Neodiprion lecontei: one gene and its partner. The protein of the gene in region 2 interacts with the protein of the main gene of each other region in a pairwise test. Links are inferred from orthologs where the notes say so. Each region holds a gene or a part of one and is shown on either strand. Other genes may lie near its edges.

Region 1 (16,157 bases), on a different chromosome or scaffold from region 2:
GAGGCCCAGATGGACGGTGATTTGAGTGTTAACGAAGGTGATTTTGTCACGGTTGTAGAAATGGCGAATAGTGACTGGGTCAGTGTTAAAAATGAGGATGGACTTGTTGGTCTTTGTCCAAGGGGCTATTTGAACGCCAATTTCGATCTTCAAAGTGAGCAAGGAAACTCTGCAGACGAGAGTGTTGTGCTGAGAAATGAGGAGGCGACAGAAGAACTGAAATTTGAAGACCGTTTCGACAGCAAGAGACTCTCCTGTCCGCATAGACCTGCACCTCCAGCTCCAGCGCCGGGCCGAGTCCCGCTACAACGACAAACTATGACTGTCGAGGCTCAAGAGGAAACTGTCGAGGACGTGGAGGATTCGGAAACGGATAGTAGAGTTAAAGCCAAACAGAAGAAAGCCGATCATCGACAGAACGTCATAACTGAGCTGGTGATAACGGAAAAGGAGTACGTTAGAGATTTGAAGATGACTTACGAAACTTTTAATCTGTATAATCCGAGCATGCTCGAATCCCGGGGTATAGATGTGACTACTTTGTTCGGAAACATGCTGGACGTGATTAAAATTGCCGAGGATCTATTGGACAAGATGCTGTCGGCAATGAAAGGGTGCGACGAGGAATACCAGACCATTGGACCCTGCTTTTCAAAAATGTCTGATAAACTGCAGATGGTCTACGTCAAATACTGCAGCAATCACGAGGCTGCGTTGGCTCTATTGAAAAAAGTATGTTCACAACTTGATTTTCACTTTTCAGTAATAGATCAATGTTTTACCACTAAAAGGATAGATTCAATTGACGGTTTTCAACACTCTTCTAATCTAAGATAAGTGATGTATTCTACATGAGTGTGATTCAAATTCTCTTTCAATACAGTACGAGAATAACTCCGAAATTATGGCAGTGTTTGAAAAGGGTATCGAAACATTGCGCCATCAGATAGCTTGCTTTGACATGAGTTCTATTCTGATAAAACCTGTGCAAAGAATATTAAAATATCCTTTGATGCTGTACGAACTTGTGAAGGTAAGATGCTGCTAGTAATATTTCATTATACATTTTAGTCGCAATACCATTAGAGAAGAATCTAACAGTACATTTCGTAACGAGTATGGATAAGGCTTTTTGTCGAAACGTGAGGTTTACAGCACGCACCGAAGTCGAGTGCTGTAACACGTGAGTGAAAAAAATTATCCGTACGAGTTTCGATCCATATTTTTTATTAGAATGCAAAAAAGTAATTTTTTTCCAAAACGTACGGAAGAAAAGATACAGCAAACCTTGCAGAATGTGGAGGATGTTTTTGTAGTTAGAAATTAAGTCTTGACTATCGATTATTAAATTGTAATTTAATAAATTCCATTCAACTCAATCTATTTGAATCCTGCAGTGGTTTTCAATAAATATTAACTTTATCAGTGCACAGAAGATGACCACCCTGATAAACCAGAAATAGAAGAAGCTTGGCGAGCTATGACGAACGTTGCGAGCTACATAAACGAATATAAACGTCGCAAAGACTTGGTGACAAAGTATTTCGAGGGTGAGAACACGTTGATGCGAAAAATGGCTAAATTGAACATGCACTCCGTGGCAAAGAAGTCAACCAGACTCAGTGCAAAGCTTTCTGCTTCGTTGGGACTGACAAACATAGCACTTGATACTGACTTTGATGAGTACGAAAGACAGTTTAAATCTGTTGAAAAATCAACCTGGCAATTGGCCAGGGATGTTGAGCAGTGCATTGTTTACTTAGGCGAAGAATCTGTCAGCGGTCAATTAATATCGGATTTGATAAATCAGTATTACCAAGGAACTTCTAACAATGAGGTCAGGAAATTTAACGAAACTCGCTCTGTCATATGGTCAAATTATTTACAAGAGCTGAAATCTTGCCTGGAAAGAAGAGTCTCGAGTCCTCTCAACCACTTGATCAACTTACTCCAAGGCCCAGCGCTACTTATTGAAAAAAGATACGACAAACTCCTTGATTATGATGTCGCAGTTTCCAAGAACGAAAAGAACAGAGATAACAAGATTGTAATTATTCCCTGATATATTTTCTAAGTACTATATTTTTGATGACATTTCTGTACGTGTTACTGATTGCAGTTTCAGGACGAACTACTTCGCGCAAAAAGCAACTACGAGGCACTCAACGAACAATTGCTAGAGGAACTCCCGACCTTGATCAATGTATCAACTAAAATACTGGTGAATTGTTTCGGCGCCTTTGCCAACTCCAGAAAACTCCTTAGTGGACAAGTTACCAAACGTTATTTAGCATTATCGGAGGTGAGTTGAGAGATTTAGAAATGTGGTAACTTCCCTGAACTTTGTAAATATATTGTTTCTTAATTCTTCAAATCACAGACGGCAACTCAAATAACGGCTCAGGATATTCTCGAGTCGTTTTTAGTAAGTCACAATTTACTCTGGAACCAAATAACTCGGTTTGGTTTTGCCGGCTCGAATCCCCGGATAGAGGAGAGCCAGGTGGCATGGAACGAACAAAGCGAGAGGCAAAGAAATCTCTTACGAAACAAATACCCTGTGGACAGATTGTTCGTAGTCAAAGAAAATGTGGTAAGCACATCTTCCTTGGACATGGGAGCGAAACGAGGCACCATAGTGGCTGTAATTAAGAATCAGGATCCAATGGGAGATTCGACAAGATGGTTTGTCGACAACGGAGCACTCAAAGGTTTTCTACCAAGCCAAAACTTAGAGGTACTGCACCGCACGTCAAGCGTCAACAGTACGAATGGAAATAGGGCATCGATAAGTCCAGACACAATGGCGGATTTCATATCCTTGGACTCGCCAGAAGCCACCCGTACAGAGTCACCGGATCTCATCTGCATGGACTCGCCAGAAAAGGAAAATAAAACGTCTTCGATGGCGGAAAGGCAGTCGCAATTTTATCAAAACCTGGATGATGCTGTTGACGATTCTCAAAACGATACCACGACTGGTAGTACCAGTGTCCTGCAACATTACCAAAATTTGAATAACGTTGTACGTATAGTATTGTGTCAAAGAGAGTTGAACTATGTATTAGGAATGAATGTGAGGGCGTTGCTAATCAATATGGCGCCGAGAATTGGACTGCCAGTGGATGGTTTTGGGGTGGTTTTGGGTCAATTATATGAATACAAGAGTACGGACAATTCAGTGCAAGCTGTGAGGCTTTTGTTTTATCCCACGTATTTATTACGCTATAAAAAATCCAATGACAGAGGTATTTTAAAATTAAATATGGCCCGTTTGGAGTAATACGTTTTTTGCCACCAGATGTCTCAGCGCCAGATTTTCATTACCAATACCCGCGTATCTATGCTTGTGAGAGTTATTTCAAGTATCATTATATTGTTGCAGTATTATTACGCGCTCTACAATTTTGACGGAGGAATGAAGGGCACATTAGTTATAAAAAAAGGCCAGGCATTAAGACTCTTGAGGCCTTGTGATGAAATGAAAAACGATGATTGGTGGTTGGTTCAAGATCGCTCTGGAGCTTCTGGCTATGTTCCTAAGAATTATCTAGGCCCTCCTGAAGCAGTGATATGAGTGACAATGCACGTGAAAAAACGAGGTAATGAATACAAGAAATTTCACCATTATCAAGTTACTATGATAAAAAAAATTTATTTACATATATGTATATATTATAAATAGATGATTACAAGGACGCCGAATATTGTTGCCTCATAAAAAAAAGTAATAGAGGACTGCGACTATTGCAGTTTTGTTTAAATGTGCTCGAGAAATTTTATATCTACAAATGAACCTGTTACATATTTTTCATTATCATATTGAATGTTTGTATAATAATTTACCCATAGTTTTTGACTTTCATGATCTTTATATCGGCTTCTCAATGCCTAGTCAAATACTACTGTATAGTACTTTAATAGTTGGTTAAGTAATCACTTTTGGAGATGTTTGAAGAATTTAATGATACGTTAACTGAGTATCAAATTTTTGCCGAATGTCGGCAATGTGAACTTTATACTTATGTAGGGCTTTACCTCACTATCAATCATATTCTATGAGAGATTTTTCAATTTCCTGCCAATCTAGAGTGACTTAATGAACTCAGTAATTAGTATTGTTGTATAATAAATACGTACAGGGTTCTAATGGTTTAATCGATAATCTTTTGAACCGAAAGCTATTTGTATTACATAATGCCTAACAGTTTTATCGGATACAGAGTTGTTGAACCACGGTTCAACAAGTATTACACGAGAAAGATTATTTAGTTTGCTGTTTCTTTATTTCATACTTTTATCAAAAGACAATTGATCGCCTTTGGAAAGAGAAAATAGAATATAAAGCTTAAAATAACGAAAAATATTATATTGGTATAACTGATAACGCTATCTTATGTCCTATTTGAAGAAACGTAATTTATGAACGAGATTATCGTTATCTTGAAAATAAAAAATAATAATTCGGCTAGGAAATAGCTTTATGTGACGTATAGAGATTACAAAATGTAAATATTATGCGCAAGCTGAACAGCTTGCAGGAATAATGTAGGATTATAATAAAATGAGGGAGTACAGTGATCCATTTATATGGCGTAGATATTCTGTATTGCAGTTTATTTTGCAAAATCTATACAGACTATACATATACCTAAGTGCATAAAGCAGAGGACGGTCCGTGAATAATTCGGATCACTCTGTATTAATATATAAATGTTTATATGTTCAGCCAACAATAATTAGATAAACTATACATTTATAATTAATAATAAGATTTTAAACAGTTATACATTGTAGATTATTAGTTGTATATTTTGACTCGTGCCATTTACATAACTCCAGATTTTAAGAATTCAAAGTAATAAACTATTTTATCATTGTTATTATATTCGATCTATGATTGAATTTTGAGAATTGTTCTTGTGCGTTAAAAGAAATTGATGAATGTATACATTTGAATTTATCGTATACACCTTATTATGCTATACATACATACACGATATATAGTATATTACATGCATATGTGTTGGGGTATGTATATGTATAGTATATATATACAATTCAATTGATGCGTTATTCTACAAAGTTTAAGGTGTACGAAATTAAATGAATTATCATGTGAATTAAAATTATACTTTCAAGTAATTATCACTGCGTCCTCTTGATTGGAGGGAAAGAAAAACTTGTTCTTCAAGAACTGAATGTAGAATATTCTGACTGTGCTGTACTTGGCACAAGGATGTAAGATAGATTAAGTGACAGTGAAGTGGAGGAGTTGAAATAATGGAGAAAAGAAACAATAAGCTCATAACGTATTTAAAAAAAAACATTTACTATATCATACTATCACTTATCGGCATATAATATTCACTTAAATTGTTACAGTAACACAGACAGTAAATACTAATACATTTCCTTAAATGCTAAGTCGTCAGGGTTTCTTAAAAATACAATTATAAATTGACACAAAAAAAAAGTAATCTTAAATTAGTAAAACAGTCTTATTCGAGGTACAAAAAAATAAATCTACTGCACATGATAAGCTATAAATATCATGACCATAACGAGTACACTTACAATTAAAACATATCAATAAAACAGAATTATAAAATTACTGCGATCTAAAAAAAAAAAAAACCGAGATAAATTATCAATGGCTACAACTGCTTGATGCCAATTATTAGATACTCATGGAAAACTAGTCAGTTTCCTAAGGAAAAGAAAAAAATGACGATGAAATGAACTGCGTCAAGTAAATAAATGCGTTTCTTCATAACGCAACGACGAAACATTTTTCTCCAAACTAGTCACATAGGAACGATTAAAAATTTCTTCTCATTTGAACGTGAGAGACTTGATCGGTTAAGCAAATCAACAAGATTTCTCTCCAGGGCATATCATCGACCACTCCTTAATCTGTCGGATAAAAGCGGAGAATCGCCCTTCCCTGGATCTCGGAATGACATAGCTTCTGTACAACATCGAAGGCTTCTTCAGCAGGGTAAACTGTGTGTGGAGGAGGTTCAATTTGTCCCGAAGCCACCAACTGTACAAGTTCTTCGAGCTGTTGCAAGGAACCAGGGTCAACTGGCTTGATGCTTTGCTGCCTTTCCTCTGCACGTCTGCTGAACTTTGGCAAAAGACGATCAGCCACTTCTCGAATGACGAAGACTACACCGCCCTTCCCAAGACATTGCAGGCTGCGGTGAAGGCTTCGTGATGTAGTTCCGAAGTCTATTACAACGTCAACAAGACCCTGACACGCATCCATCGTCCGTTCTATCAACTGCTTCTCGTACAAATCTTCATTCCATTGAACAACGTTCACACTGCGATTGATAAAAATAAGATAACGGTTAGTCAAAAGCCATTCAGAGCTTGTATTTAGTGTACCTGTTTTCATTTCAAGTAGCCAGATTGAATCTGTTCATTTCAGCAGTGATATCTGTTTTAAAAATCCAAGGAGGAATTGTTTCGTGAAATTTTAAGCAAAAAGTGATCAAAAAATCTTTCAAGCCACTTGAAAATGTTATAATATTTGATCAAGATTGTAAAAGTTCGTTAAAATCAGTCACGATAAAGCTGAGCGATAACATCTAAAACGGTAGTGAAATTTGAGCTGAAAATAACCTGAACATCATGGCAAAGATAAGGTAACACATTTAATGAGCGTAAAAAATAAGTGGTAAACCAACCGTTTGAATTCCTTAGCCATCATGAGTCCGTCATCCTTGAGTGAGGCGATGGTGATGGTAACTCTGTTCTTCATATTGCTGAAGTGATAAGCTGCGATTCTCATTGCCCAAAGGGCGAGTCCGCCAGTACCAACAATGAGGATCTTGCAGACGCTGTTGTCTCCCCTCTCTGCGAGAAGAGCTTGGACATGTTCGTGGGCGGCAAAGACAGTGTTCATTGCCAGGAGAGCACCGGTGGGCAGCATAGCAGCGACGCTGAGTTCCATGCTATCAGGTATTTTGATGAGATACTTCAAGTCGTGGACGACCATATATTCTGCATAGCCGTTGGGAACTCCGTCGTACGGGTAAAGAATGACTCTATCTCCGACTGCGTAACCACAGTTTTCCTTTATCTCGCTACCTAGGGACTCCACGGTTCCAGCGACTTCATACCCAGGGAAAAGGGCTGCGTCTCTGACCCCGTAGTGAGGTAGATTCACTGGTAAGTCACCCTCCTGTGAAACGTCCTGCGATAGCAGGCTTCCAGTGCTCGATACAGACGTTAGACTTGTCTGGCTTGGAGAACGGCGAGGCCGGTAACACGCTCCTGCGCAAACCACCCTGATTCTAGCACCATTCGCAGGAACGTCTGGAACTGGGATGTCAAAGCTGAAGACGCAGTCTCGCCCTGCTAGTCCAGGACTTTCAATCGAAACTTGGCGGCACAATTTATTCATCTTGCGAGGTTGTGGTTCCCTGTTTAAAAAAAGAGAGAATATTGATCCAGAATTCAGACATTTGGTAAATATTAATGGTTTTCTTTTTATAGCAAGGTCTTGGAAAATCTCACACGAATATACCGTTTAAGAAATCAATTCGTAAACAAATAAAATATAAAACGTATAAAAGATAAAATTTCGAAATATTCGCGGACTTTTTTCGAAACTTGACTATTTCGAGGGTTTTCTGTTAATTTCTCTCTTATTCGTCATCCGCGTTATTGTTAGTTGCGAGTTACGGTGCGGTATCATTTTTGAGAGGAAGTGAAAATTAACGGTCGATGAAACACTAATCTCTACGCTTCTCCGAAGGTATAGAGTCGCCGGTGAAAGCTATCTGACGATGACGTTCCATAATTTAAACATTCGAAAACTATTCGGTCACGCTACTTATCCAAGATTCAAATGTTTCGAAACCCGAAGCATAGAGTACCCTCCTTATACTTTAGTGCATTAGGCATGTGATACGTAAAGCTAAAAATACTAAGGATTTCGAATAAAATAATTGACGCTCTATTGAAATTTCCCAAACTTGCGATGTGTTTAAAACGAAGTGGGGGAAAATTCGAAATACGAAAACGTACCTAAGCGGTTCACGAGCTGCGCAATGAGCCAATGGAGTAACGGGAACAAGTTCGACAGGCATTTTTTTTAGAGGAAGAAGAAAAACAAAAGCCACTGGTGCAGTCCTCGAGTTAGCCGGTAGTAGACTGCAGCGAATAGACAATAGAACTATGCAATAGACAGCGAAAAGGACGGCGTCCCTTCCGTGTTACGGTAATAACCGTTTAAAAAACGAGAAATATAACGCGATGTGCGATGCGTGCTTTTTCACAGATTCGAAAGAGTAATAGTTATTTTTATTTAGTCTTGCGACAAATTCGTGGAAAATTGATCACTTTACACAAAGCGTATCACACCTCTCGCGGTACGTTACATGGAACATCTGAATGCTCGCGCTGCGCTCCGTTTCCTTTTTATACCTCCCAACAAACTGCGCAACGCCCCAACTCAACCCATAGAGGAACTGGTGGTGGATGGAACACTCGCAGGCCACGTGCTCGGTTAATGTTCACACGACGTGCCTCCGCATATCTCGATACTTCCAAAACCTTGCGCCTGTGTTTGTGACTGCGTTTCTTTTTCTCTTCGTAGGCAGCCAACAGCTGGTATACTGCTGGGTAAATTCTGCTGTTGCCGAACAAGGATACTAAATTATGCGGCGAGCCGCGAGGATCGAGTTAGAATAAAGTAATTAGGTCCTTTTCACAACTCGATATTAAAAAATAACGTCATCCGTTCCTACCTATATCCTCATATTACGCTAATAGACGTCACAACGATAATGTTTAGTTCACACATCCGTGTGATGAATTGTTTGAAAAACATTCGAAACGTTCTTTGGGAGCATTTTAGGTTCCTGTTTGATCCCTGCGTCCGTCGTAATCAGTAATATATGTGTCAAAGAATATATGCATTTACCTAGAAGGCCGTGGTCATTGTTGCAGCTGAATCCTCTGAGGTCAGAATCCTGCACCTTTAGGCATGTATTACATAACGAAGCCTGTATCAAAGTTGATATCACCAAACATCGGAGTCCACGTGTCTCAAACTCTAAAAAGGGCTTAACAGCCTCATTTTGTACGCAATTCTGAACAAAAACACTGCCAACACATCTTCATTTGACGTAGAAATAAATAAATGGCTTAAATTCTACGAATTTACCATCGCGATTTCGTAGAATGCGTGCCATTTCTTTATCTCTGCGTCAAATGAAGATGTATCGTAGTGTTTTTGTTCAGAATTGCGCATAGAATGGGACGTTAAAACCTTTTTAGGAGATATATCCGCCAACGACGAAATCGACCAGGGCACCCCCTTAATCTCGAGCATAGTAATAGTTGCATAACACAGCTAAAACGGCATGCAAAATTCGTAATACACACAAAGTTCTGTAGGCTGTGTACGCGTGCATGCTTGAATGCGGCAGAATTTGTCATCACTCGCAACAATGGTGATGTATCGTCCCTCTAGGATAACTCCATATTCTTAGGTATGATATTTTCGTTACTTTTCTTCCTTTCCCCGCCAGTTTACCCCTCATTTTTCATTTGAAATCTCGATCTTTCGGATCTGTGACATATCTAGAGAAACCTTGATAACGCTTTTCTCTCCCTGATCTCACGGGACCTAGGATATATGTAGGATCGGTTTTTCGGAATTAGAAAGACCGGCGTCCACGGACGGGACGCGTGCCAATGCTCAGAGTTTTTCACCTATAGGTATACATACCTACACATACCTACGTATAACCGTAAATATATTATGCCTCGGCAACTCTAGGTGTAGAAGTGTTTCGTCGTTATGTACCAAAGAATGGATTCAACGGAAAGGCCGATCGAGTTTTAGGCTAGCGCCACGCCGTCTGGGAAGGACGTGTACCTACACCTAGATCGGACGCGTGTACGAATAATTCTAAAATTATCAATAGAGTATTTTGTGTGGGTATACCTATAATAGCCAGGTCGATACCCGCGTGCAGTCTTGAAACGTAATATTTACGTTTTTACATACCGATGATTAATCATTTGCAATTCGATTCAGTCTCAGTGCTGAGGTAATTGCAAGCATCCTGTTATATGTACCGGATGTGAATTATTCGGTGATGCAGGTTACGATTGAGAATCGTTTATTCTATTCAGAAGAACGTGAATATATCGGGCCATCGTTCCAAACGGATCTATTTAGGAAGCTATTATATAGCAATTTGCGTTTCGGAATCGTGTATAATAATTCGTATATATATATATATTATCTACGCGCTTTCATCTACAGAATTATTATATATATATATTGTACTTCAACGATCGTTAGCCATTCTTTAAATACGTCGAGTATACCAATAATAAATTGCATTATATCATCGAAACGGTATGGAAAACTGATATAGACGGATATAAGGGAGGTTATATTTAGGGAAGGAAGTCCTACGACAATCCAGTGCAGGTATAGAATACCGAGAGATTAATGGCGAAAGGAAGTTGCGTAACTGTGAATCGTTATAAATATATTATAGAAATCGAATTGTAACAACGATGGCAGGTGGAGATTCTCGGAAGAACGATCAACATATTTCAATCATTGATAAGTTGGGGGGAAAAAAAATTAAACTTTTTATCGTATTATTTTCTTCACGTCAGAATCGTTATCGCGTTCCCTTGACGAAAGTGATAAATTCGCGTTGATATTCGAGTTTACTCTACAGCTGCGTGGACCTATATGTATACGTATATTATAATTATACATCAAGCTGCCCGTTGTAGTTTTAACGTTAGATTGAATGAGAACTTGTCAAAATCACGCCCCCCTCGGTTGTTAATCATTGCGAACTGGTTTCAACACTGTTAAACAAGTACCACCCATAGCTGCGATTTTATCTCTCGGATCTTCATTCTAAATGAAAAAAATTATAGCCAATAACAAACGGTGATAACTTGTTTTCTCGATATTTATTGTTTATTTTTTTCGTTCCTTCATTGTATCGATTTTATCGTGATTAGGATATCTTTTTCATCACAGTTGTTTCCTTATTTCTCCAAATCTATTTACAGTAACTTGTTTACGAATTTTTTTCACTCAAGTACACAATCGGCACGTGGATATAAGGCGGTTCTAAAGGCCAAGGCGAAATTTGCAAAACATCGCAACGTGTCAAGTGTATCTTTGTTTGTATTGTAATTCTCATACACATCTACATCAGCCACGTGGTGTATCCAATGCGTGATACATCGTTGAATTCATACGCAACTTGGGTACAGCATCAGAGTGATCGATATTAATTACTGCCATTATTTTCGCGTCGATAAGTGACTTAGGGAAAGTAATTCTATACAATACTGGGTGGAAAAATAAATTTTTAAATATTCACCGTCTTATGTTCGTCGGTTAAAATTTTAACGTTTTGTTAATACTTACAACGATCTTTGTGTATTCTCAACCGTCGCCGGTTCTCTTTTTCTCCTTTGTGTTTTTCTTCTCTCTTGGCTCGGTAGTTAATACATGCTTTCATGTATACAATAGACTCTCGCTGGAATAGAATTCAGAAAAAACTCGAAAGTATGACACAAAATTGAACCGTGTCATAAAAGCGTTAATAAACACGGCAGTGTAATGTGTATACGCAAAATTGAGCACTTTGAACTAAACAATTATTCTTTGAAAAAGTATGGATCAAAGAATATACCAAGAATTACGCAGCTCAAATGATGTATACATTTTTACGTTCTTAACTCGATGAGAAGTAAATAAACACGTCTAGTTTCCTTTGCCTAATTCCATATTATTTTCGGTATTGTATTTCAATTTTTAATTTAAATAGAAATTTCGCTCAATTATAGTTGTGGAATAATCTGGAATTGAATGTGTATTCTGTTCAGTTCGTGTAATATTATATCCAAGAATAAAATCCCGTCGGATGTTTATTTCCGCAGTTGTTTCTTTCCACGAAATATCTATAGAGGTTGGTTTTTATACGCAAACGTATTAATAGTACATAGTTTAAAACAAGGGTCGTTACTCGTAACAACCATCTGCTTTATATATTATTTCCAACTTGATAATTTTTCCGCTCAAAATGAAGACACCGACGTTTCTGTGTTATATACATATTATTCATGGCTTGCGATGTGTACACATTCAGGCAAAGCTATAATTAAAATGTAGGCACGTTGTGTCCTTGTTTTCGCAATGATGGCTGTTTGCAGGGAAATCCTTAGTCGCGCGTGAATTATGTGTTTATATACACCGAACTACGACCTCGCTCTCTTCTGTAGTTCAAATATTCTAAAAAGAGATGTTTTCCCCGGATTTTAAAGCAAGAGAAATAAAACAAGAAAATAAGGGGAACGCTCCACAAAGAAAACAGTCAGAGAGAGAAGGAAACGAAATCGCATTATCCTAATTATTCAATTAATGTGAAAGTGATTGTATATTTTACAATTGACTGATTATTAACGAATCGAGAGAATGCAAAACTGACCAATACCAACATAGAAATCGTTGGTAAATTACCATATTCATGTACACATTCAGTCTCAGCTTATGGGCTAAAATTAAACCACAATACGTTTAATAGGTAGAGTAGAAATTGCTTTGTATAAACGTACGTGCGGATTCGCATGGAAATTAGTTGGAAATGAGTAATGACAATTTTAAAACTAATTTATCCTAAAGCGCTTCAACAAGATAAGACGTATTCATTATCACGTGCAAAATATTCGATCATCCGAATACCCTGTAATAGATTATATTGTTAAATGCAACGTATCGCGATTATTATTTATATACTATTTATTTGTATTTATATTGATAATTCGATTTCCTCGTGCATCAATTGTCCGGCATAATCCAACTGTCTGCAATTCTATAACCAGAGTATACCTGTATAATATAAAAAAGAAACTGCAGTGACGTAAACTGGAAGGCAATTACCTTTACATAATCATCGCGGAGCGTAAATTGATATTACAAAAACTGGCCGTAAGGTTATCAGTAACAATTAAAAGTTTTTAGAAATGTTAACAAATTTTCGTACCTCATCTAGCCAAATTTCTTTTCTCTATTCTACGTATCTATATTTCCTAATTTTCTCCTTCACTCTCGCCATGTTATTGTCAATACTTCCCACGCATCATATTTCATCTATATACAGGGTGACTCAACTGAGAGCATGATGTTTTAATCAACGGGATTTATTTTAATGCAACGTCAGTTCCACAATCATAGATTCTGCGAATGTTTCTTATTTGTTGATTCACTCTGTACATCAGCGAATGTATAAAGCTGCAGGTAGTAGGTGTTATGGTACAAAGTCTAATGTCTGAATCACCGCTCAACAGTTTCAAAAAATTAGCGAAGGACGACAACTTTATAAGACTGGGTTACACGGAAATTTCAATTCAGTTAGTTACACCTGGAAATGTCTATCGAGAAAAAAAAAAAAAATTTAGAAGTCCAAGTTTGGTAAATGTGTGATAAAAAGTACAGAAAGCATTATTTCTACAAGGGCCGTTACATGCAAATTTGGAATATAAATATTAAAAAGCATTACGGTATCAAGCTTGATGCCTGGATTACTGTGTTTTAGTGTCAACAAAAAGCGTAAGTGCTTTTTCGACACTGTGATCATCGATTAAAGCGATCGTGTTATCATTTCGAATGATCATTTGCTCCACATTTCACAAATATCCGAACATCACGGCATTGGAAAGTGAAACAAACAAGTCTGCTCAACGTGATCACTGATCACGGTAAAAACGTATACCTTGAATTTAATTGTATAAAAAATGGACAATTGCCAGATGATGATCGAAGAGAAAATACACGTATTATACGCGAGAAAGAATTCATCGAGAAAAATTCCGTTCGCGTTTCTGTACACGATTTCAGTAATTGCAGACATAACCTAAAATCGGTAAGGTATAACAAATATCGATAAGTGCATTTGCAGAAACAAACGAAGGTGACTTATGATCGTATAACACGATCGTCGTCGTATTATGAAAAAAGAAAAAAAAAAGCGACACCGCGATCACCTGTGCCTGTAAGTGATGAAATAAAAGAGAAGAATCTGGAACAACGGTTATCTGTGAAACAAAGAACAAACTAAAGGACAAAAGATTTAAAAAAAAGAAAAGAAAAAATTGAATAAAGAGCGAAGCAAACGTCCCGGCGTAAGAAAAACATATTCTACTATACGCGTTTGAAACGGCGAGGTGTTGCTCTTTGCTCGTTTTTGGTGCAACGCCTGTGTGCCGCGCAACGCCAGCCGTCGGCAAGAGCCGAGCAGGGGAAACGGTCGATGATCAAGGCATGCCACGATCACGTGAACAGCATCGAACCTGCACGTGACTGTGAGTCGGTCACCTCGCTCGCTACATGGTACATGCTCATCCGTTGCTATCGCCTACACCGCGAAGAGAGGAAACGAGCCCCAGTCCCAGATTTTACGTAGATTTTATACCACGGAGCATGTGTGTGTGTGTATGTATCGCGAATCTGCACGGCTTTTATACTTGGGTACAGTTTTCATCGTGATATTTAGATCGCAGCTGGCGCCTAACTTTTCCCGCTTGCCAAAAGTATGATAAACATAACGGAAGAAAGAAACGCGACCAGGGATGAGAATGCGAATGCTGATGAGTGATGAATGAAATGAGAGAGAGAAGAAATATTAAAAAACGATGAAGAACTCAAAGTTGAAAGTCCAAAGCGAAGATAAACTGAGACAGAAGAAAAAGAAATCGGAAATTAATGACTTCTTAACGTTTCAAAATTCCACCGTGCAAAACGTACCGGATTCGTATTTTGATAGGTTTCGTCTAGTTACGAAGCTCGGGAGTTTCATACTGTGAAATAAAAAAAAAATGGGTTCCCAGCTGGCACCAAATTAATTGTTTTTGACGAACCGTTTAGCTCATGGATGGAACCGTGGCATTACGTAAATTTTAGGATGAACCCGTTTATTAATATTGTATGTACCTTCAGGTGGACGTCACCTGCATGCTAAACACATACAAGTTGCCAAGTTTGCCTTGAATCATCGTCACGAACCTACAAAGATAACGTACCAAACTGATGAGTGATTACTGCTCATTCTTACAACTATCCGTACGTTGTTGGTTTACCGTTACGGCGACTCAACATCGCAGTCGTTGCTGTATTGAGTAACTAGAAAACGATTCTATGTGCTACTATACTTTTCGAAAGTAGTAATCGTATCGATTCATATAATGGGTTCTCGTGAGAAAAATGGACGGCCCATTAAAGCGAAGGATGCTCACGTATACTGTCCATCATTGCGAATCAATTAGAATGACTGAAACTGATTGATATCAGAAAACGATTATAATCCATTCAGTAAAAGCCATCAGATCACAAATGGTGTGCTAAGCATGATCGTAAATCTGGGTTATATTATCCATCGCGGATACAGACTTTTTACAATCTGCTTTTTCAATTTTCTTCAATCGGATTCTCTGACAATAAACATATAAAACTGCTTGATCCTCCAAATCGCTATAATTTTATTCTTCGATCCAATCTTGAAATCAGATTATCTCATAAAGAAATGTGTTTATCGACTGAACGACCCTGGCATAGTTATCAATAAACGTGCACAAAATGTTTGTCCTTATATTAATTAAAGCACGTTCCCGATAGAGGTAATTAGCGATTCGCAGGAAAGAATAATACTGCGTTACTCTTTGATTTCCGTCAGATACAGTAGTCCTGTTTACAATGATTAAGCTGCCACAGCGGGATTAGTAGTATTTACGTAGTGACGGTCGGTTTATGCATGAGTGATCGATAAGTCTCTGGGTAAGTCGTCGATCAAACGTCTAAAGACAGTAGCGAAAAAATTGGATTAAAGTAATTCGCAGATCGTAAAGTATTTGAAGTAACTACACCGAAATACCATGTCGAATTTCTTTATAAATCTAACGTTTACACGCGTAATTGGGTCGTTGTTTGATACTATAATTATAACAATGTCGGATCATGATTAAAATTTAACGATAAGTCTGTTTGCTGCCTCCAGCAAATGCTGATAAACGTTCCTGAATAACGCTCAAGGGATTCGCATTGTAATTAAATGGATGTTCTCAATTTGTGCGCTCGAAAAAAAGATCAACTAAATCAA
Region 2 (15,466 bases):
GTGTAGTGATTAAAAAAAAATTTTTCATCACCATTCGCACTGAAAATGATCAGAACGTATGATTCAATCGAAATTAAGCGTTTGACAATATAAAGACAAATGTTCGTATGTAAGGCAGATACGACCTTTTTCCATTAACAGGTACACGAAGAAGAAAGATCAAAAGAGAAGGTCGTAACAAACATTTTGTGTTTTGTTTCTGCAATCGTTCTGGAAACCGTTGAAACGCATCGTGGATCAATCGAGATCTGCGAAAATTCAGAAATGTTGTGAAAAAATTCTTCATGACAAGAACGAAAGGGCGTAACCGCAATTTTTATTATTTTTTTTTTTTTGTAATCGCCCCAAAGACTAACGAATCGCGTAAACAATTGAATCTAACAAAGTTATACAGTGAGTATGACGATTTTCTGAACGTCAACTGTCCAAATCGTCAATTATCGGAATGATAAGAATAACAATAATAATATTCGGCGTTTACGCCATTATGCAATTGGACGCGCGATATGGTAGTACGGAAATTGGGACCGAATAATTTATCGATCTTGATCAAACCCGCGAGAATTCACTCCGAGTGCGTAGGAGTGAGAACTTGACCTTGAAATCGAGCGCGGCTCAAGTCCCCACGTATTTTGAAGATCGGAATCGGGATTAAATGTACATTCACAACCCATTTGTTCCAGGCCTGCAGCAACGATCCGTCGATTCGCGACGGTAGTTTCGTTCTGCATCAGGCATATCGGTCACTTGAAGAACTCGAAATTAAATTTGCAGCGATTACCGAAATGCAAATAACTGACGTGCTTAACCGTCACTTAGCATCCGAGTCGTTAACATAATGCAAATATCTCCGGCGCGACTTCTTCGTACGATAGCTATGTTGAAAAATAAAAACCACAACCACTTACTACGCCTCGACCTGCACCGCCGGTTCTCTTTTACCGATCATTACCTTCCCCTAACAGGCATTTAGCCCGGGCGTTAGGCAGTAATAACCGCAGACATTGTTCACCCGACTCGACGCAGTCGACGCTTGTTTTATGCATAGCCCATTTTTGTTTTCTCAAATTCTGACCTAGTACTTCGTTGAATTCTTACGAAATTGTACGCGCATTAATTCTTCGATGTAACCGTTACATGTACACAAGCAGCAGAGCTTGCTGCAAGGATTGCTGAGCAAATAAACAATTTATTACCCGTCGCAAGGTGTTTCTGTATCCAAATCTGACTGACTGCGCGCAGGCGTAAGGCATAAATATTTTTCATTCTTATCCACTTCGGCTGATGAATAATAAGCGTATCAAATTATGAAATGGCAATAACAATGTGTAAAGAGCTTTTAACTTTACAGTGACTGAGAATATCAGGAAAACATTTTATCTCGATATTTTGGTACAATCGTTTAAAATCATTTGTACAAAAGAAAAGTTTCTCATTGACGTTCAACTACTACATGTTTGTTATTACTCAGCTGCAAAATCATGCTCACCGTAGGCATGAAATTTGTCTACATAATTTCGAGGAAACTCAATCTCCTTTCAATTTACTGTATTCCACAATAACAATCATTCAAATTAAACTATGAAAAACTCATGTGAAAATCCAGCGTTACATTATAAACGTGATGTTTGGCGAAGTCGGCGAACAAAAATTGCGAGAGAAAATAATGCGTACACGAGGTAAACCCATAAGCGTAATGAGTTACGCACACGGAAGAGGGAGAAGATTTAAAAAGAAAAAAAGTCAACCCGCGGTCAGGAAGGTACATACGCGGATCTTCTCCTACGTCGCGGCATCGCAGGACAGAAATGACGCAACTGGATACATAGTTGCGCGCATCGAACCGGTTTGCGTAGTGTGCGTATACCTGTGTACGTAGGCGCATAGAAATAATATACACACATTGAATCGAATATAGGTTCGCAGGCGTACGAAACCGCGTACCTATACTCGCGTTTGTACACACACACGCAGCGTGCAGCATTGAAACTAACGTCGCAGATTTCCGAATCGCAATACCGGTTCTTGTAAAAGTACTTGTTTTAAATAACTGTTGCAGCCGCCGCGAGGGCAAACACTTCCGCAATACCGATTTGTCATTGTATCCGGCTAGCGAAAATTATTATTTAACACCGCGGACTCGCCGTGTACACGCGCGTATACATGCACATTATTATACGAGGAAGCACCCGGCGCGAAATTATCATTTTCTTCCAACGCGATCTTAAACGTTTTTCCTTGTACTCGCATGCTTACGGATTTACTTAATTTTCGTTAGATACTTTTCGTTTCCATATCATATATACCTATACACCTCTGAGAAAAAATTCCAAAGGGATCGCATGCATTTTTATTCAATTATTGTACCGTACGAGAGATGGATTTTCTAGCGATCTAACGAAATAAGTAAAGTGGCAGAAATTGGAATCTGTTTCATAGGTTACATACGTCGTGATCGGTTAATTGCGTAACCGGTGATCAATTTGAACCTTGCCATGCAGAGCAACGAAGAAGAGTCACGATATGGTTTCTTGGAAAGTACGCTGGGCCGGAATATAAAACAGCGATAATAATCGGCCTTGATCGGCCTTTCGTCGATCTAACCCCCGCCTGCCCTGCCTCTCATCCATAGGATCGTGGAAATTAGGTATGCCATTTTATTACACATACATTTCTAGGCGTTGGATCGCGTTCACGATCGTCTATACATTACGGGCAAAATGACGGCGTAAAAGTGTAAAAGTTTCGCTTGCATCCACGCGAATGCCTGTAACAGTCGTAGGATTACAGGAACAGAGGCAGTATAATATTGAATTTTACGACTGATAAAGCGATCACCGCATAACATTTCCAACCTGTAAGCATGTTTGCTGCAACCCAGGCAGCTATGTACTGCGATCAAATTGCAATACCTGTAGTGCATTTAGGCTCTAAGCGACAAGTTTGTTTTGCAAACGTTGAAAGTTTCACCCTGTTTCGTGTTACCATCGGTTGTATATGGATATGTAGAGGTTTGGCCTCGAGCATTCGCACCCGAGATCAATTATGATTATAACATAAAATGTCAAGCTGCGGATAAGATCGTCGAATGCATAATTCAATCGCCGTATACCTGTAAGGCACACACGTTCGATATCCCTGCGGTGTACGGTTGAAAAATGCGGATTTACGGGAATTTTATACTTATGTGTTATATACATAGGCAGTCGGATGTAAAGATTCGCGAAGAGAAAGGGACAATAAGAATCAACGATGAATATTAAAATACGTGTATCAAATAAATTATATACCTATACGACCAGGAAGCTGGTTAAAGGCCGAATATTAGTGAAAGATCAAACTAAAATGACTTTGTTTCGCGGCCAAACTTAAGTGAGTTCGTTAATCTAATCACGATTACAGAAGTCCTGAAAATATTATTTCGCAAAATCATATGGAACAACATGATGCATCCTTCGTACCACGCTTACTAATTTACGAATATAACTCGCGAATAGGCCTGGGCATAACGCTGGTATGTAGCTAGCGATGGACGCTGACAATGAGCTAAAAATCACCGATGCGTCGATTAATCAAGTCGATGATAATAATCGAACACGATTCGATTGAATCGGTAAAAATGAATCGATTAATCGATTACTTCGTATTTTTTTTTGAAACGGTGCTTACGAAACAAACATTTCGTAAATTTCATTAGGCAGTCTTGATAGCGGTAAAGTTTTTTTTTTTCAATTTATAGTTTCATTCGAACCATTTTTCAATTTCAGGTGAAAATATTTATTTATCCATCACTCGTTGTATCAAATAAGGTACTTGGTAAGTAAGACAATGATGCTAATTGATACTTTGATCACATAAATTAATACCGCATCGCGTCGTTCATAGGAGTAAAGAACGGAAACCAATGGTGAGGTAAAATCATCGAGTCGATCGATTAATTTACCATAAAAAATAATCAATTATACTCGATTAATCTAGGAAAAATATGTGATTTCATCGAAAATCGATTAACCTCGGTCATTCTTAGTATAACTAAACGTGTCAGACCGCGTATGTTATGATTATTGACGCAGTATACACCATGCGTGAGGTAGATCAGTATGCAAGTAGGTATGGGCGTCGAAGTTGAAGGCGCGAACTGTAAACGTGTACGAACGTTCCAAGCGGTGTCTCACGCACACACACACACACACACACACACACACACACACACACACACACACACACACACACACACACACCGTTGCGCGCGTACCCATGTATGTATATTGCCGAGCGTGCGTTCTAATTACACCTACACGCCTTCGAAGACCCATTGTACATTTTACGTAGAATTATGGTTACACGTACGCGGTATATAATACGCCATGTTTCGGATACAGCACGATGGACCGCACATAATTTGTATTATTTATACGCATATCATGTTATCTGTATAATGTGAACATATTTTTCGTAAATACATCATTCAAATAATACATGTACTCTTGGGAGGACTTATCGAATAACTCTCGCGCCGGGATCGGGATTAAGATTTTCTTCTTTCAACTTCTCGACCGCGCGTGTTGCGCGGACTGTTGAAAATTAGTCTGAACAGAGTTTCTCGGCTAATATCAGCTGAAAGCAACACGGGCGTTGACGTCAAGCTGCGCGACTGGTAAAAATATGCATATATGTGTGAGGGGCACGCGGTCTGCGTCGGCACTGTCCGTCGCAAAATTCTTACCGCCAAACGATCGATCCTATACCGATGACCGAAATCACGTATACCAGCCTCGACTTTTGAACTGACCTTCGATAAGTCTACCTATAAATTTGAATAGGATAAGGGTCATTGCTGTACCTCGTTGTTTCGTTGTCGAGAAATTTCGAGCTAAATTAGAGATCGGGGATTTAAGAATATACTTTATACGTAATACGTTATGCATTTATAAAATCGTCAGAGTCACAACAATCACAACGACGTCGCCATCCGAGAGAACGGGGCCCAGACGTCGAGATTTATACCAGGCGTGTAACATCAAGATAAGATTGTTAAGCATAATGTTGATTTCGATTGATTACGATCAACTCTTCGTCGGCTTTTGCCGCGCAGTTAGACGACGCGTTGTAGCTCGAAAGGTGGAAGGGAATGAAAAAAGGAGAAAAAAACGGCAGATTTCCGCGCGAACGTTTATACGCGCGTTTATACCTTTCGACGGGTTTTTGCTTAATTTTCCTGCCCCCTCCCCTGCCCCTCTTGCCTCGATTAAAAGGAAAGGCGAGTCGTCAATTAGAGAGTTAGACAGAGAGACTCACGAGTTGTTCGGGCGTCGTGTTTTTCATGATGCGTGTTCCTCGCCTCCGTTTGAAAATTTCCACGTGCTGAGGTGCGGTGTAAGGTGTGCGGTGTAAGGTTTCGGGTATCCGGTGGTCCGGCGACGTCGAGGCACGATCGGCTAATGCAAGTTGCGAAACTAACCCGAGAAACGCGAGCGTGCGACTCGTGCGGCGAACGACGCAAGTCTGTGAACCGAAATAATCGCGAGGGAGAGACGAAGAAGAAGACGAAGAAGAAGGAAAACGAAGAGAGAGAGAGAGAGGCAGGGAGGGAGGGAAGTACGCACCTAAGTACGTACGACGCGCAAACACGAACACACACACACACACACACACACACACACACACACACACACACACACACACACACACACACACACACACACACACACACACACACACTCGCGCACACGTCTCACGCTCGACGGTGAAAGGACGCCACGGTGGCTTTAAAATAACGCGACGTGTCTTATATACAGGACCTTATATACGTATGCAGGCAGTTAGGCAGGTATTAATAATGGTTGTTCGTTCGTTCGCCAGTCCGACCTTAGAGTCGAACGTGCGGGTAACGTGGAAGAATAGTAGGATTTTCTTTGAGACAACGCGCTGCCCTCGCCCGACATGCCGCACTTGCGATTCGTTTAATCGTGATGCAGGTTTCGTTGCCTTTGAAAAATCCGAGGATCGTCCGCCGATGCAGCGCAGAGCGCGACGGATATCTATAATTATTTACGATCACTGTCGCTGCTTAATTATTATTAATTACCGATCATCGATAGATCGAACCAATGTTTCGTCGTTCCGTTGATCATCGTCCAATGCAGACGCGACCGTGTAAACAAATTGTCTATAGGTGCTGCTGCAGGGATGCGACGTTTGACCAATAACGACGTATAATTGACACTTTTCCAATCCGTTTGACGTAACGTGAACTTCTAAGTCTGCGGGTAGGTGATCCTCGAAAGGAAAAGAGCGCAGCATATATCGTTCCAATAACTGTACCGTATGCACGTACATACGTGACAGCGGACAAGAGGCAACTATCAACGATATAACGAACGGCACGGAACTGGAAGACTTTCTGTGACTGATATCGAGTAATTTACTGATTGCGCACACGTCGGTGTGAACATAATTTTTCCGAGTCGATCAAAGTTGGAAAGATAAAGCGACGCTCTCGATCCGCGAATCGAACCCTACAGAATCGTAATAACTAAAATTTATAGAATGGCGTTGAGGTACAAGTAATAAACCTGTGTCGACTTCGAAGAGAACCGTTGGTAAAGACGAAAATCATTGGAAATCAGATTTTCCTTCTCGCCAATGTCTTTCGTAATTACCTTGCTTTGTCGTACATAGGTATAAGCGGTCTTGCGATCAGAAGTGATCGGTCTAACGGCAGAGTATTCTTCCAGTCAACCGAATCCGATTCATTGTAAACTTGAATTTTGTACACCTTGTGTAGGTAACGCAGAGGTCGGCACGTGAGGATATCGTAAAAACTGAACACGCGTTGCTTCCGATCAGTGAGCCAGCCAACGTTACATACGATTCGTAAAACTGAAATCCCCACGCCGTATGTAACGTATGAAATACAACATCCAGTGGTCAGCGTCGTTCTATACATATTAAACACGTCACCCTAATGTATAATTATACGTATTCATAGGTAGGTATATGCACTATTACGAATGCCAGCCGTCCGTCGTTTGCGACGACGGAATTGTACGATGACCACAGCGGGATATTGTGTCAAGTGTAAGAGCCAAAATATATCGATCCGTACAGAGACGGTCCCGTGAAGGTGTAGCAATTGTTAAGAGAGCGATTAACGAACGGCAAACAATTCTTTCACAATCCGATATTGCGACCACATATACAACGTGACGGCATACGATGACTCTCGGTATTCGAGCGACGATCGAAAATACACCAACATCGAGCTAGTACCTGTGGGATTTGAGATTGGCAAGGAATGCGGATCGTCAACTTCGATATCGATCCCCGGCGTCGCGACGCTCCTCCGTCCCAAGGTGACCTTCGGTCACGACTCGCTGTATATCCGACGGCGTCGTTCGCCAGCGACAAGTCGCCACGCGTTGCGTTGCGCGGGGGCCGATGCTCCGAGATATTGGTACACGCGATACGAAGCCGTGAAGAGTATTCGCGACGTACCGCGAATTGAAAACGAACGGGGGATGGACTGGAGCAATTTTGGCGAAAAATCAGTCACGTTCATCTTTTCGTTACATCTGCAGGAAATATTACCCTTACCCTTTACATTCCGCAGTCGCTAGGATTCCGAGATCGAAAGCCACAGACTGCGGCGGCAATACGTGGGTATACTGCAGACGAATATCAGATTCTACACCGTCACAGCTGTATAAGCTGTAAAAAAAAACTTGCACGCAGGCGCCTTTTCGACGAGTCGTCCGATGAAAGGACGCGCGGGTCGATTATTGCCCGCCTTTTACCTCATGGATTTTTCCGCCCTCGTGTGTTTGATCGCTGATCGGCTTCCGAAATTTCGCGCAGGGCTCGAGGCCTCGTTATTGAATAAGCGTAGGCATTTCAAGGTCCGAAATTAATCAGGACTTATTGACGGTTAAACACGAATATGTGTACCGATGGCGCGGCGCTTGTTGCCTCGCGACGAACGGAGTCGAACAGCAGGAATTGGTAACAGAGGCCGAACGTACCCCGAGGACCAAGAGACCACTGGTCGAATAACGCTGACAACCTTCGGGCGAAAGTGAAAGGCGCTTAATTACAGGCGTGCGAATGTCGGGTGAATTTGTCGAATGGTTTATAGGTATAGAGGTCGCCTGCTTGACGATTCTTCGACGGATACGTGGGTGTGCAGCAGGGTGGAAATCAAACGTGTCTGAGAATCGGTAGAACGGTGGGGTCGAAGGAGGATTTTAGAGAGAGAGAGAGAGAGGGAGAGAGAGAGAGAGAGAGAGAGAGAGAGAGAGAGAGAGATGAAGGCAAGAGCTGGGTAGATTTTATTTCCTATGCAACACGGGTAATATTTGATAAGTCTATCGGTATAAACCGGTTGGATATACGTATGACTCGCGATACGTATTTGAAAAAATGTTCACGATTAAAATTCTCACCCGGGAAGGACTATTTTAGTAAATACTACGACATTTGTGGAATTACATTAATTAACCAAGTCCAGATAAAGCCGGAGAGTTGTTAACAAGTGTACGTGGTGATTTCAATTCTACCTTGCCCGAGATGTTTGCACCTGTAACGCATTTGTAGGATTTTACGAAAGCTCGTATACATAAGTATATGTTATATTGTTACGCGAAAAAAGGTAAATTGTTTCGTTACGTTTGGATATGCCGATGATGAATATCGGCGTGTAATATACCTAGAGTAAAGGTAACGATTGCCTCGTTGATTAAGTGAATAAGTAAAACAGTTAGTCGATCAATTGCCTTTGCGGAAACAGGAGGCGCGCACATCTCTGCCTTCTTTTGCTCTTTGCAGCATGGCTTCCTCACGACTACAGTCACCGGCTGAAAGTTCAAGATACAAGGTCAACGCTATCTCTCAAGGTCGCCCGGATTCATTCAATATGCTTACCCGGAAATTTTCGCGAGAAAATAAAAATACGAATATTAGGAAATCCTGGCATAGCCCGGCATAATTTGGCCATGCAGTGAGAGTATATATTATAAACCGTGTAATCGACTTTGACAAATTCGTACCAAATTCTCTCCAGGCGAGTGTCCGTGCTCCATTTCACGACGTATTTATAACACGTACAACAATTGCAACCCGAATAAATGTTTAATTTTTTTTCACGCGCAGCACTCACAATCAAATTGGCAATAAATCATCTTTCAAGTCCACCTTAACGCGACTATTTCCCCTAATCGATCACGTCACTGCGAATTTCAACGAAACGGAGCATAGAAAATAATCGATAAACAATCGAAATCGTTCAACGTGAGATTCAAGTTTTGCGCAACCGCTGCCTGCATCTGTCACTGATCATCGCCGGCTGATCGTCTCGGCTCACGGACGATCAAGTACCTGCGTACATCTAATTAATTGGCGAAAAAGCAAGAATCAACGTTACCTCGTCTATCGGTTCGGGACTGTAAGAGTTGTTTGCGTCGTTCTGAACCGGTGCGGCCTCGCCATTTTTCGCGTAACATGTGCAGATTTTGCTCAGAAGCGAACCGTTCTTCGTCTTCATATTGCCCGACAGCCAGTAACTTCACTTCCACCAATTAATCTGACCAACGTTTCTAAATACCAGGCGATGCAGTCTCGGATGCACTGAATTGTTCAGCGCGTATTACACGGAATCTGGCTTGACGTAGTAACAGCTACTTATATTCTTACAAAGAATCAGACAGCGGGGTAGAAACACTCGCGGCGTTTGAAAACGGAGTGTGCAGCATCCTCTGGGTACGGACCTAATCTATATTATAAGGACGTACCGGGAGGGGAGAACCTGACCTGCCCGTCTCTCGCTATCCCACCGTGCAAGGGCCAATGGCAAGCCGTTTCACGGCCTGTTTCGATTCCATGGCGTGTGTTTGCACGCACGTATCCAACGGGGGTGGCTCGGGAGGCTCGAGGGCCCTCGATTCTTACTTCCTATTCAAAATATTACCCAATTCTCACCCATGTTTGCCACCGAATGTTTGGGGAAAATATTCCAGAACCTGAGACTCTGTTTTTCCTGACATTTCCCACGATAGAAACCTGATATTTTCAGTTTTTCCATGACTCAATTGAAAATCCCCTGACAATTCTGAGTTTTCCATGACCCCTTTTAAACGATCCTGACATTTACAAGTTTTCCAGGTATGTCGTCCGACTTCTACATTTAACTGAAATAATCACGCCGATGAAGAATTTACTATACGTTTTGTAGATATTTAAGTGCATATGATGAACAGCACGTAACTTGTTTCGGATTCAGCCGTACTCTTTGCTTTTCTCTCTTTTCGGTAAATTACAAGTGATTAATGGACAAAATTAGTGTATCGTACGTGCGAACACGTTGCATGCAATTACGTAAAGTCGAGGCCCCGTTTACGTCTTTAAAAAGCTTTACAAAAAAAACAATTTTGTTTCGCATACGTCACAGTACCTTGATAGTCGGTTTTTGAGTACACATAATCGGCGGGTTGATTTTTGCACAATATCTTATCCTGAGTCTTGAAAGGATAAATAGTCCGCGATGCGTTATCAATATTTCTTACAGCACGTCTATAACTATGTGGCAAAAAGTCAATCACGAATTCTCACGTTCCTTTCACCGAAAAACAAAACTTTTTTCGCAATGACGTTGAGTAAGACCCACGAGTTTATTATCATTAAAAATTATCAGCAATTAACGAAACCAGTTCCGCAATATTGCACAATTCCTTCGTTGAAGCAATTTATAACCACCCCTGTGCGATTCGATCGAGACTTGTTTTCGCACTACCGGATAAGCTCGAATTATATACATGCATATACTCGTTGCGGCAAGTGTCAGATCACGTTGCAGCTGTAAAATAAGCAATAAATACATATAGCATTATTGCTAAGTAAATGTGACAGCTAAACCCTGTTCGCGCGCGGTGTAATAATTTATAATCTTATCAGCACACTTCAATATCCGTTATAAGCCGACCTTGAAACATTCCGATTTGACAATAAAACGATATATCTTAGGAGCAGTAATTTTTATAGCACAACAGGTCGAACTGCCTCGAGTTCCCCGTGGCGAACCGTTATAACCCGGTGTTGTGAAGTGATGCCTTAAAATCGTTCATTCTCGATCTGCCGCAATTGGAAACTACAATTCCATGCACTTCTCGAGTGATTATGTATGTTGCATCTCAGGGTCACTTATTCGTTGCCGAACGCGAAAGGGAGAGAGAGAAATAGAGTGAGGGAGAGTAAGAGAGAAAAAGGTTGCGTCAGCCGTACTCGTTTTCAGCAATAAATGACCCATATTGTTTTGCAAACGGTCGCATTGAATTTCTGCAATGTCTCAATATGCGGATACTGTACGATGAACGACATTTGATCAAAAGAGTTTTATCGGCAATATACCTAATGGATAACACATCTGCCAATAATCGATAAAGCAGCCGTATAACCCTCGCAATGCGATGGAAAAGTTCCACCTTTTTGCCAGTGAAACCACAATGGATGTGGGCACGATTCGACATCATGTTTCTTCTAACTCGTGTCTTAATTTAATGACCGCGTATCAGACTCATCAACAAATGATAAGTATCATAGGGATTATCCGTTTAACGTGCAGAAATCTAAGCAACACCACGGGTGTGCGATTTTATTGCACTTGTAAAGTCTAGTTATTACATGACAAATGACAATAACAACTTCGCGAAATACTTCCTATACTCTATATCGATCTATATTATATTCGGCATCACCTTATATCATATAGTTTTATGACGATGATTTTGTAAATTCGTAGGATTGTATGGATTACTAGAATCACTAGAGACGGTTCATTTCGTTTTTTTAATCTGTCCGATATTGTAATACTTTAATCACGAGAATTAGCGGCGAAAAATTTTACTATTCCTCGCCTGTTGTCAGCGCAGCCAATGAGAGGAAATATAACGCGGCGTGTAAATTGGGTTTTAGAGGTACGGGCTAGCTACGAACACTCTTCGATTGCAGAAAGAACCCTTGTGACGGAACTCTTGGGCACTCGTTAACACGCGCGTCGGTGACTATCAAAAATAGAAATTCCGCGGAGCCGACGAAAGACCAAAGACCCAAAGACTAGTTCATTTTTAAATAGGAAAGTCACATCTTACAATTAGACGCACGCCGACGGCGAATTCGAGCGGATGTGCCGGCTCCACCCCTTCCATTCTCTTCATTCCCCCGTGCTATTAACGCCTCACACGCGAATTACAATACGCGGTATATGTTAAGCCCGTGTACTTACATGCAATCACGTCGTAAAATTATGGATAAAGGTAACAAGTACGCAATTTCATTAATTGCGTTGCATTAATTGTCCCTGAAGAGGAACGACGCGTCTCGTGAAGATGGGAACGAATGATCGGGCGAATGAGAGATCGGAACATTGCAATAGAGAACTCGCGGGACTATATTCAAATACCAAGGTGACACGAGCGCCCTCGATGCTCAGTCAAAGCGGATGGCAATGATATTCAGTTCAGTGGAACAACGCGCATAATACACCTGATCATAATATTGTTTTGTACGTAAGGCGTTTCGTGGATTACAGAGCGTGTAGAAGTTTGGGGACCGGAATCGGTGACGGTACGACACGTCCCGATTGCAGTAGTAACGCAGGAATGGCGTACAACCACGCCAGCGAGTCGAGTCACCAAACCGCAGCTAGGTATAATTACTGTTATATCAGATGAAAAATGCTCACAGCTGGACCGACGTGCTCCCACTTTTCATTGACATAATCCCAATTCTCCTCTTCCATGACGGCCTTGGTCACAGTGATCGCGAGAATGAAGGTGTTATCGGTATTGGTATTCGATACGAGGTACGGTCAGGCTCTCCTCCCCTTAATCGCGGACCGCGATGATCACGCGCGACGATTGATGAATGAATCGAGAGCACGACGACGAGACAGGAGCTCCTCGGAGCTCGGCTCTGTTTCTCTTCCACCCGCCAGCGAGACGAAGCCAACCTAACGACAGGGATGCGCCTCTTCCTCGAGACGCGACGCGCACCACGTAACTCAAGCGTAGATCGAGGTATCATTATACAGGCACACGAGTCGTTACGTTGCGTTTCGACTTACGTCACGGCTAACGTGTTGGCTCCCCATCGGGCCAACGGGACGGAAATACATCAATCGAGCGTGGGGAAGGGTATTTTTGGAACATCGACTTCGTTAGTGGCTTCGCTTCGGGAATGTAAATCGTATAAATCCGATCGCGCCCATTTGCGACCAAAAACAATGCGCACTCACATCACGTGCACCCCTAAGAATGATGATTTCCTTGCGGTGAACTATCGAACGTAAACGAGTAGTCTGATTCGATCGAATCTCTGACGTTTCCTTTTGCATTGCAGGTATGATCCGTCGGGCTTGAATGCCGGGCGCGGAACGGACCAGGTAATACTGTACAGGTTGTAGAAACTGGATAAAAGTTACGCAAAACTTTGCCTTTTGACAGGCCGCTCGTGCATATTCCCCGTGTGATTTATGGTCAATTTGTTCACGCCTGCTGAATTTATTCGGTACGCACAGAGAATCTGCATTGATTGTAACGTCATCCAAACGGAATGTCAAAACCATTTCGACCATACATGTAGATTTCTATAATTACTGTATATTCTGTACAAGCTTCGACATTTTATCCTGAGAAGGACACGCTTCATTTTTAGGTTCATGCAAGAAGAGGGCTGTTGTCTAGTATAAAACATCTAAACAACTCGAATTACATTTAACCAAGCGACAATTCTGAAACTTGCCGAAATGTATAAGGATGACCTTATAAGGTACACCGTTATCATATAAACATTACAAATATTTGGAAACGTACGTCAGGATGGCCGAGCGGTCTAAGGCGCTGCGTTCAGGTCGCAGTCCACTTCTGTGGGCGTGGGTTCGAATCCCACTTCTGACAATTTTTTTTCATTCCCCAAACACAAATTTACTTTGCAGTACCTGTAACAAACAGAGTACATGGCCCACAAACAGGACTCACCTTATAGTCCAGTCATTATAGACTAAAAACCATTTTTCGAATATACGCATAAGCATGATTTGTGTGACAGTGACCCCCCCCCTCGAGACAGCTGTGAAAAAAAAATTCACTAAATAATTATTCACGGGTAGGGTTGGTTTTTTGGATATAAGGACTGGACTATTACCTTCGGCTATCCTAGATTTCATTTTTCTTGCAGTTACATGCAGTGCGTCACAAAATCAGTAAAACGGACAGGCGACATGCGAACACACATTTTGCTCTCCACGACTTGCATTATTCTGCCGGCTGTCAGTAATCCCAAATCAGAATATTAACAAATGGACATGTAAATGCAACGTCGCCAACGTTCTCAAGGCATCGGTGGTTCAGTGGTAGAATGCTCGCCTGCCACGCGGGCGGCCCGGGTTCGATTCCCGGCCGATGCAAATTCTTTTTTATTTCCTACATCTACACCTGTGGTCAAGGTGAATTACTATTGGTCGTCGATTTCTCGACTCATTTCGTAATCTGTGGAGATTCCATCAGTACAGTATAAAACATCCACAACGGAGTGTCAAAACATCTTTTTGACAAACGTCAACGAGACTGTATTTAACTCAACGTAGAGTTTCTCAGTCAGTTCATGCGCACAATCTTGCATTACGTCATTTTTTAATCTTTCATACTGTCAAATGACGAATAAAAATCGCACCGACCGCGACAGACACCTGCCACGTTATACATCATTGGAACGTATTTACAACATCTTAGGTAACGTGCTACCTGTAAATGTAAGACAAAAAGCTGGTTATTAGTCAACATTCGTGTAAAGTTCATCGCAACGACAGTGAAACGCATCCCTTGAGCCGTTGATTAGCTTTGTTTGCGCCTTCCAAAATTGTCCTCGGTAGTATAGTGGTAATTACGCCCGACTTATCCGAATAATCTTGGGAGACCGGGGTTCAAATCCCCGCCGGGGCAACCTTTTTGACTCTTGATTGACATATATTACATTCGCGTTTTCTCTTCATGGAATCAGAGTAGTTTTTTCGATATGCAAGAAATTCCATTCCAACATAGAATCAACCGTGGGATTATAACGATTGGCTGCACACGGTGAGAAATTTGTATGCAATAAATAATGCGCGCGCAAGACGGGCTCATTCAGCGTCCTTCAAACATGGCAGAGAACGGATCGCTTGTCACGGTGTCAGGGGCAGCCCTATCTTTGCTTTTATACGAAAATGTGCGAAGTATGGGCGATCAGGTAATAAGAAATAGCCCTAAATTATTCCACACAATAATTTGCAACGATATGTTGTAAGTAGTCAAGGTCTATGTGCTGTTAAATTGGAGATTTCAACGTAGCCAGTATCATAACCTCTTTGCATGTGACGTTTCGGCTATATAAAATGTTTTTCTCATATCCTCAATATTATGTTTCAAGCGTGTTTCATTAC

What was found.
Region 1: the proteins of hexokinase type 2 (region 2) and uncharacterized protein LOC107217150 interact in a two-hybrid assay, tested with the Caenorhabditis elegans proteins (2 studies listed by BioGRID). The link is inferred for Neodiprion lecontei from reciprocal best matches to the Caenorhabditis elegans genes hxk-1 and ZK829.7.

Annotation. Positions count from the first base shown.
Region 1 is NC_060264.1:32,214,076-32,230,232, reverse strand, and holds uncharacterized protein LOC107217150, read right to left. Parts: upstream 8,411-16,157; 5' UTR 8,103-8,410; coding exon 8,041-8,102; intron 7,434-8,040; coding exon 6,696-7,433; intron 6,330-6,695; coding exon 5,912-6,329; 3' UTR 5,314-5,911; downstream 1-5,313. Other genes in the region: dynamin-binding protein, read left to right, coding at 1-732, 884-1,033, 1,427-2,047, 2,120-2,302, 2,381-3,025, 3,386-3,577.
Region 2 is NC_060265.1:31,234,071-31,249,536, forward strand, and holds the start of hexokinase type 2, read right to left. Parts: upstream 9,716-15,466; 5' UTR 9,539-9,715; coding exon 9,419-9,538; intron 5,510-9,418; exon of another isoform or gene 5,326-5,509; coding exon of another isoform or gene 5,299-5,325; intron 249-5,298; exon of another isoform or gene 232-248; coding exon of another isoform or gene 184-231; intron 1-183. Other genes in the region: BRISC complex subunit FAM175B, read left to right, coding at 15,187-15,273.